Oryzias latipes: one gene and its partner. The protein of the gene in region 1 purifies or fractionates together with the protein of each later gene. This does not show direct contact. Links are inferred from orthologs where the notes say so. Each region holds a gene or a part of one and is shown on either strand. Other genes may lie near its edges. The genes, in order: akap1 and cAMP-dependent protein kinase catalytic subunit beta.

The links.
Region 2: the proteins of akap1 (region 1) and cAMP-dependent protein kinase catalytic subunit beta purify together in Homo sapiens (affinity purification with mass spectrometry; 4 studies listed by BioGRID and IntAct, counting the BioPlex papers as one, with this or other methods). This does not show direct contact. The link is inferred for Oryzias latipes from reciprocal best matches to the Homo sapiens genes AKAP1 and PRKACB.

The regions. Positions count from the first base shown.
Region 1 is NC_019871.2:30,776,789-30,780,602, reverse strand, and holds the end of akap1 (A-kinase anchor protein 1, mitochondrial), read right to left. Parts: intron 3,683-3,814; coding exon 3,615-3,682; intron 3,411-3,614; coding exon 3,337-3,410; intron 3,263-3,336; coding exon 3,197-3,262; intron 2,110-3,196; coding exon 2,047-2,109; 3' UTR 321-2,046; downstream 1-320.
Region 2 is NC_019875.2:26,776,395-26,780,804, reverse strand, and holds the start of cAMP-dependent protein kinase catalytic subunit beta, read left to right. Parts: upstream 1-1,525; 5' UTR 1,526-1,769; coding exon 1,770-1,815; intron 1,816-4,410. UniProt on the Homo sapiens protein: Mediates cAMP-dependent signaling triggered by receptor binding to GPCRs.

The DNA of each region.
Region 1 (3,814 bases):
TGAAAACCTTTAAATCGAATTACTGGAAATAACAAATGACCACTGCATTTATTCATGGTTTATTTTATTTAAATATAAAGTCTCTTTAGTATTTACGGATAAAAACAGATAACAGGTTCTCCCAGTTTACAGCCCAACACAAATCAAATGAGTGTAGACGCTAAAGCCCACTATGAACTACATCAGCGGTCACTCCAACTGATCCAGAGACTGACGTGGAGCTGACATTTGCTATTGTTGTATTGTAAACGTGTTATGATAAATGTGGCGGTGGTGGTACCCCCCCCCCCCCCACATACACACACCACAAAGATGCACACTAGTCTTTGAATAGCTTTATTCTTTCCTAGTACATCTGTACAATCCACAAAGCAGCCGAGGACTAACAAAATCTCAACTGTACACAGCAGACGCCTTGGGGCACTCCTGCTTACAGCCACTTAAATAACCGGGCAGACGTCGTGGGGCCACACGACACCCGACAGCATCAGCTGGAGGACAGACATGGGGGCGGGGGGCTCAAGCCGAAGCAAAACTCAGTTCCCTTTAGAGCACTTTGTCATAGAAAAGTTCAGTCAGTGGTTTATTTACAAAGAAGGGGTAGGGCTTATCACAAGGTGGGTGTGGCTCTGGGTTTAGGGCTGGAGGTGAGACAAAAGACCCCAGTGGCGGTCAAAGCGAGGAGCTGATCTCCAATGTTTTTTCAGTAAAAGTTCAGCTGCCCTGAAACAGGTCCATGGATGCCCCTCCCCTAACCAGAGACGGGTCAGAAAGCTGCCCTCCTGCCCCCATCAGCAGGAACCATTTGAATGGGGGCATCAACGGTGTGATGAGTGTGAACTTCAACCCCACATGGAGGGCAAATAACTATCTGATGAGTTGGAAAGAAAATGAAGCACTGTAGAGAACGGAAGGCAAAGACACGCTGCAGAGACGGAGCGAGACAAGGACAGGATCGGGATTGATATGACAGATGAAAACTACAACTACTAGAATGCATTTATTGTGAGGAATGAAGACCTGACTAATGTGAAAAGTCCCAGATCCAGACGTCTGGATGAAAATGAGATTGTCATGTTTGCAGATGATGCCGTCTTCTGACTTTAAACATCCGTGTCTTGACTGAATGGATACAGATGCTGCCAACGGAGCTAAAACCAGAGGAACAACACTAAAGTGTGCAAACCAGAGTCAAAGCTGGGAAAGGATGGAGGGGCAGAAGGAAAGGACTCTGGGATATTTTGGTTCATGATTCCTTCTGCAGATCAAAAGCCACACTTCAATTCATACAAACTAGGTGCGGTTAGGTTCCTCTCGGATTCTGGTAAATGAAATGCCTCTGACAGACATGATCCCTTAAAGCTGTTTTCTTCTACTATCACCTGTGCAGGTGGCGTTTGTGGCCCCGCCCTCTGCTGGATACCCTGAGGTTGCACAATGTAGTAATGACTGAAGTCCTTCATCTGCCTAAAAGTCACAACAGCAGGTCATTGTGGTTCTGATCAGCCTGCTCATTGATGGGTCCAAGTGTGACACCCCCCCACCCCCAGGCCTGTCTGTGCTGTCCTTCCTCTGAAGATGTGCATCAGACCCGTTCAGGGCAGCAGAACTTCCACCCAACAGCCAAGTTTCAGCTCAGAACCAACCTGGCCCACTACAGCCAGTACAGTCAGGGCTGAGGGGGGAGGGTCACAGTGTGCAAAGGCCCAGAGCAAACATGAGCGCAGGACGGGGGCTAAAAAAATATTTGACCATCCTTTATTATGTTACAATAGAGTTTTTTGTAAAAACGACCTCGTCCCTTTTTCTTAGTGTTTGTGAACAACAAGGGAGAGCGGCCTCGGCAGGTTCTGCCCGAAAACAAAGTTTAATTTCTTTTCCAAAGAATAAGTGGGGAGGGGGGAGAAAACAAAAAAACAAAAAACAAAGAGACAATCCTCTCAGACCCAGTGGTAGTGGGGTCGGGTCCTCAGGACAGCCTGGACCCTCTCTGGTGACCACTGGAAGCAGCGGGAGGAGTGTGTGGAACTGGAACCACATCCCGGTTCAGAACCCGTCCACCCAAACAGCCAGGCCGCGCTCCGCCAACGTCCGGTTCACGGAGACCACCTGCAGGACACGCACAGCATCAGACGGGGGTCTGCATAAGACCTACACAACACAGAACCAGGGGAGCCGGGCTCATCCAGGAGTGTTCCTCCGTGTACCTGGACGAGCCAAAACTAGCTTTACCATGTCCGTCAGACGGCCTGCTGTGTGAGAAGAATGGCTCCTGTAATCCTCTGCATCCCAGAACCTCTGCCGAACGTCACAGACGGCAGGGTTCTGTCTCATTCTCCTTCTAAAGGAGGATCTTTCCTGTGTGACGTGACCCAGAAGTGTGTCCCTTTTGCTGACGCCATTACCTCCTTTAGAGCAAACGCCGTGCCCCTTCTCCAAAAGGAGAAAGTAAAGTCCGCTTCCAGGAGTCTTTCTGGTCACAACACTGAACACCGATGAGACAGAAGAATTGTAGACATGCAGACATACAAGCACACATGCTGTAGTCTTCATCGTATGTCTGGATGCAGTTAAGTGCTTCCTGGTCTAGAAGCTGTCAAAGAACCCCTTTACAATCAGGAGTCACTGATAACAGTTGTGTTCTGACTGTCTCACCTCCTGTACCTTACAGCCTGAAAACTATGGGAACTGTTACAGCTGGACTGAACTGACTGGTGAGGTTATTTTATACACTTTATATGGTCCAGGATGCCATATTTCCATGTTGCAGCTTTAAATAGTCCATCGGTCTCCATCGATAACGTATAGAGAGCTCATCTATCCACTGTCGCCCTGCATATAGCTGTGGGAAAGTCCCATTCTGCACACGGACCGGAAGACCTTCTTCAGGATCTCTGCTGACATTTACCGCTGGAGGCCAAAGGTCAGGAAACAGGACAATGTTTGCCTGACAATAAGTGGCAGCGGAGGGGATTTGGATGCAGCTGCTGCAAACTCTCCTCGTCAGACTGATGTCGCTTTTCTCCTCAACCTTAAAATATCTTCAGTCATTCAGACTCAAATTTAGCCTGGTGCTACAGGCCACCAGAGCATTGGTCCTGTGAGGACGGAGGCAGGAGCTAGGCGTGTGTGCACAGCCACACATGGCTCTCTGCCTCTATGGGAGGGCTCTCAGCATCACCTCAAGGAGCCATACCTCTTCTCCAAGCATGTTCCACAGGTGGACCAGCGGCAGCCCCGTGTTGTTGTCATAGTTGGATACCTTCACACAGAGCAGAGGATCGGGCCGTTACATGAAGCCGGTCTGGTGAGGCTTCAGTCGGGCGCTTGTCTCACCTGTGCCAGCAGGGCCACACCTCTGGTGATTTCCTCAAAGGCCGACGTGGCCTCTGAGGAGAAACGGTCCTCCCCTGATGGAGAAGATCACAAACGTTACACAGCTGGTGGTTCCACGAGAAAACAAGCTGCCTGCTGGGAAAACCACCAGCAGACGGCGAGGCTGAGGCAGCCAAAGAAAATGCCACCACTTCTTTGAAAAAGGATCGAATATGAACGTCCCGACTCCAATTCAGAGATTTGACTGAAGAAAAAAGTTAAAGTGACCAGCAAGGTACCTGGGAGAGGGGCGATGTTGTCCAGCAGCACCTCTGCACCTTGAAATGGTAGAGTCACAAAGTCGGATCTAAAGATAAGAAACACCACAGAGGTAGAGGTTAATGAGGGTCAGACTCTTTTGGACTTCACCTGCACACAATCACAAGAAGCAATGACACACTGAATGATGGAAGAACAAAAGGGGAACGTAATGCACAGT
Region 2 (4,410 bases), on another chromosome or scaffold:
ATTTGAATAAAATAAAGTTGGAAATACGTTAAGGTTGTCATTTGCTTTGATAAATGCTTTTATTTTCTCCTTCTAAACATGCATTTTGCGATGATTTAAAGACCTTTTACCAAATAAAAGGGGTTTTTTTTGTTTGTTTTTTTTCGAACTTTATTGAATGTAACAATTCAATACAAAACAATGTTAAACAGCAACAACGAAAGAACAAGCCAGGGGGTTATTGTTTCATTTTACGCAGATATATTGGAACTGACACACAGACCAAATGTTTTGATGGCTTTCTAATTGTCAGAGTTTCTTATTGTGTTAATGTATTGTTTGAACTCATTGATAAAGTTTGAGAAATGAGGGGTATGATTCGTAACTTTTGATTTATGAATGTGCCATTTGCATAAAAACAACAAAAGGTTAATGATGTACAATTGTTCTTTTTTATGAGATGGACAGTGGGTGAGGCCAAACATAACATTTTCTAAGTACAGGCGAAAGTCACGGTCAATGTGGGCGGAAATGAAATGACAAACTTTAGACCAGAGAGTGGTGGAAAAGAGACATGACCAAAATAAATGTACAACATCTTCAGGGTGTTCTTGACAGAAAGAGCAGGCAACATCAATATTTTCTTTGAACCTTTGCAGATATAGTTTGGATGGATAGAATTTTTGGATCAGTTTGAATGAGATTTCTTTCACTTTATTGGTTAAAAAGTATTTCGCTTTCCAGATCTTTTTCCATTCTAAATGACAAACTAAATTATTCCAAAAAGAAACTACGTAGGGAATGGAAACAACATCCTTCTGGAAGAGTGAGCGTATACGGTGATTTGTGTTACGTGAAGAAGAAAAACAAATTTGGCCTATTTCTATTTTAGTTGAATCAATTGGTAATAAAGTTGGACTCTGCAATGATGAGCTTTTGAATAACATAGTAATAGATTTAAGAATTGCTGTCAAAACAATGTTAAACTCAGTTTTTGGTATTTTGATGGAATAATTGAAGCAGAATTCTTCATGTGACATCAAAGATCCGTTTGAATTAAACAGCTGATGGACCAAAAGGATGTTTTGATTAAACCATGATGGATAAAATAAAGATTTAGGTCTATATGTAATGTCTTTATTGTTCCATATGTCGTATCTATGTGGAAAACAATGGTGTTTGTAAATAAGTGACAAGGAAAGTAACATTTGTTTATGGAAGCAAGAAAGCTTAATTGGGATCTTTTGTACATTATAGTTACAGAATAAAAGAAAGTTTATGCCACCTAATTTGGAGAAAATGTAATTTGGTATGAAATTCCAGATTGAAGTTGGATTCTTAATAAAATGTCTCAAATAAAAGTAAAGCAACTGCAAAGTACGAGTCTAAAAATGCGGAAGCAAGCCCGGATTAGCATCTTGTCACCGACTCGTGGAGCCAATCCGAGCCCACCGTGAAGGCAGCTGAGGGCCGGGGAGCAGCTTAGTCACACAAACACCAGTGACCGCTAGCTCCATGCCAGCCGAGCAGGCAGCAGCCGAGTAGCAGCAGCGGAAACCGTTCACGGGGAAGGAGGAGCGGGAGAGGGCGCGCGCGGGGACCGCCGGAAGGGACTCCAGACATCACCTCCCCTCATTTCCAGTAGAAAGCGAGAGTGGTTTGTCCGTTTCACCGGAGGAAACGCCAAGACCTCCGAATCATCAAGTGGAAGGGAGGTTAGCTAGCCTGCACCGCCGTCGCCGCCGCCATCTCCTCCTCTAAGTCGGAGCGGCCGCCGTGTCTTCCACACCATGGGGAACGCCGCCACAGCCAAGAAGGGCAACGAGCTGGAGAGCGGTGAGTGTGCGCCGGGAGCGGGCCGCCGTGTTCCGCTAGCATCCACCATCAGAGACGCCGGTGACACTTTTTTTACAGCGGCGACGCGCTCGTTTGCTGGAAACCGCTGTAGAGGCGGTGAGGGCCGGCCGCTAACCCGACTTCATTCCTCCGTTATCTGCCATCTCTGCGCGAACCCGTCCCTTCTCATGGCGTGAAAAAAAATGTTGTTGTTTTTTTGCACATTATTGAAATCACAGTATTTAAAGAATTAGTAAGTTGTTGGAAACCCCGAGACTGTGTTGCTGTCTTGCATCCCGGGAGTGGGGAAGAGAGAAGCAGAGAGACGAAGTAAAAAACACGCTGCTAAAAAAAGACGCTCCCGAAAGATATGAATCTTAATGAATACCCAAAATGTTATAATTGAAAGTTTGTGTTGGCTGCTAGTCGGTAACGAAATCTGGAGAGGAGCTAGCTTGCTAACTTTAGCTTTGAAGGGGGGGGATTAGCCCTCATAAGGCCCCTCGTTCCCCCTTGGAAGCTATTTAGGGCCGAGACCGTTAGCCCCGGCGTGCGGTCATTTCCTGTGTCCGGCCTGAGGCCGTTTGGTTGGCCGTGTTTACATTGAAGGCATCATCACCTTCGCGTTGTGTCATCCCGGGCTTCTGTCTCTGCCTGACAGCAGGGGGATGTGGCTTTCGCTGTGCCTTTTGGCTGCGGGCTCACCGCCACCATCATCATCATCATCATCAGCACAGAGCCAGCTGTTGAACAGAAATTTGGATCTCGAATCTCCAGTAAAACTTAACTTTAAATGAAGCCCAAGAGCCGTGACTAATTGGAGTAAACGGGCGTTGCGGTTCACTTTGAAGTCGGTGAGCAACTGCCCCCCCCCCCCCCCCCCCCTCTGGCTTCAGTGCCACGTTTTATTCTTAGGCGCATAAACAAAACATTCCCTCTGTACAGCGCCATGACCAAATATGGTGAAGAAATGACAAATCCCTTCTTTCCATTCATAAAACGGGGGCTTACTACTGCCTTTGTGGCAGATGTGTGCACACGCTTAAGAAGAAGAAAAACAAAAACCCAACACCATCGAACCCCCCCCCCACTTGTGTTTGTGTTGAAGCTCTTCTCTAATCTTGCCGTGGTGAAGGTCCATCAGGGCTCACTTCTCACACTCGGCTTGTCATTGACTGGAGCAGCTTGTCATCGGACCTTCGTCAGAGGATAAGGGGGTATTACAAGCTTTGAAAGGTTTGACGTAACTGGACCTGGGCCAGTGTTACTTTACGCTCATATAGTCTGATGTGTGCAGCTGATCATCATTGAACACCACAGTAGTAAATCAGAACTGTTTCCTCATACCTGGTCGTAAACCGTGAAAGTTGTTGAGATTTATTGTGTTTTCTGATGACCACAAACGTACGAATACGATGGAAAGCACCTCTTCTTTTTCACAGATTTTTTTCTTCTTCTTCATATTTTTGATAAAAGATCAAGGTTTTGCTGTGACTCTGCTTAAAATGCTTGAACCAAGAATCCAACCAGCAGCCTCTCCGGAGACAGAGATGATCAGATTAGTGATGGAATCGGGACTCTTTTTCTTTTAAACGCACCTGTGATCCCCGTATCTTGTGCGGCGGCTAACTGTTAAACCTGTTTTAAGATGACACGGTGCCCTGACTGGCAGATTTGTTTCTAGCGTAGCTGCTCCCGACAAACAACCAGGTAACCTACAGCGCCTGGTGTTTACTGTACACTAAGGTCAGTGGCTGCAACAGTTAGATCATCAGCGCAGTCACGGATGGACAGCAAGGTTTAACTTGTGCCGCCATGACACCGATGGCCTTTCACAGTACCCGTGTTTCTGTGTTTTTCTGGTTTGACAGGAAAAGTAAACAAAACTCATTAAACAATTTACTTTTTCTTTTAACCCAGAAGAACCCAGACCCACTTTTCCTTAAAAATAAAAGACCAAGCGGACCACTGAACATATTTTTTGGTGTGTTTTTCTGTTACACTGATGTCACCCCCCGGTTCCTATAGATGAAATATGTTTATTTGCTTTTAAAAAATGTCAGCAATATTTTAAACTACCTATGGATTTTAAATTGTGACGTGAGAATCACGTTCCCTCATTCCTGTCACTTGAATTGGTCAAAAGCTTGACACATATTAAGAAGTGCTGTTTCCTGTCAGAGAGTAGATAATCGTCTACGTTCATGTTTATCGTTTTTAAAATCTGCACAGTGGTCCCTCGCTATATATCGCGGTTCATTTTTCGTGGTCTCGCTGTTTTTTTTCCAGCTTTTTAGTGCAATTTTGCATTCTTTTTCTTTTTACAGCACATTGTATCCTGATTGGCTGTAGACGATTATCAATCAATCTCTGTGATGTTTCTTCTATACAGAATGCGTTCAGCTTGCAAGATTTGCAAAAATCTCCAATCTCTAGCAGATCTTTAGTTTCTTTCTTTAATACTGGATTCATTTTTCTACAATGGGGGTTTATAGCCTTAAAACATCTAGAATTATAGCTAAAAAATAAAGTTGACTACTTTGTGGATTTGACCTCTCGTGGGTGTTTTTAGAGCATAACTCCTGCGATAAACGA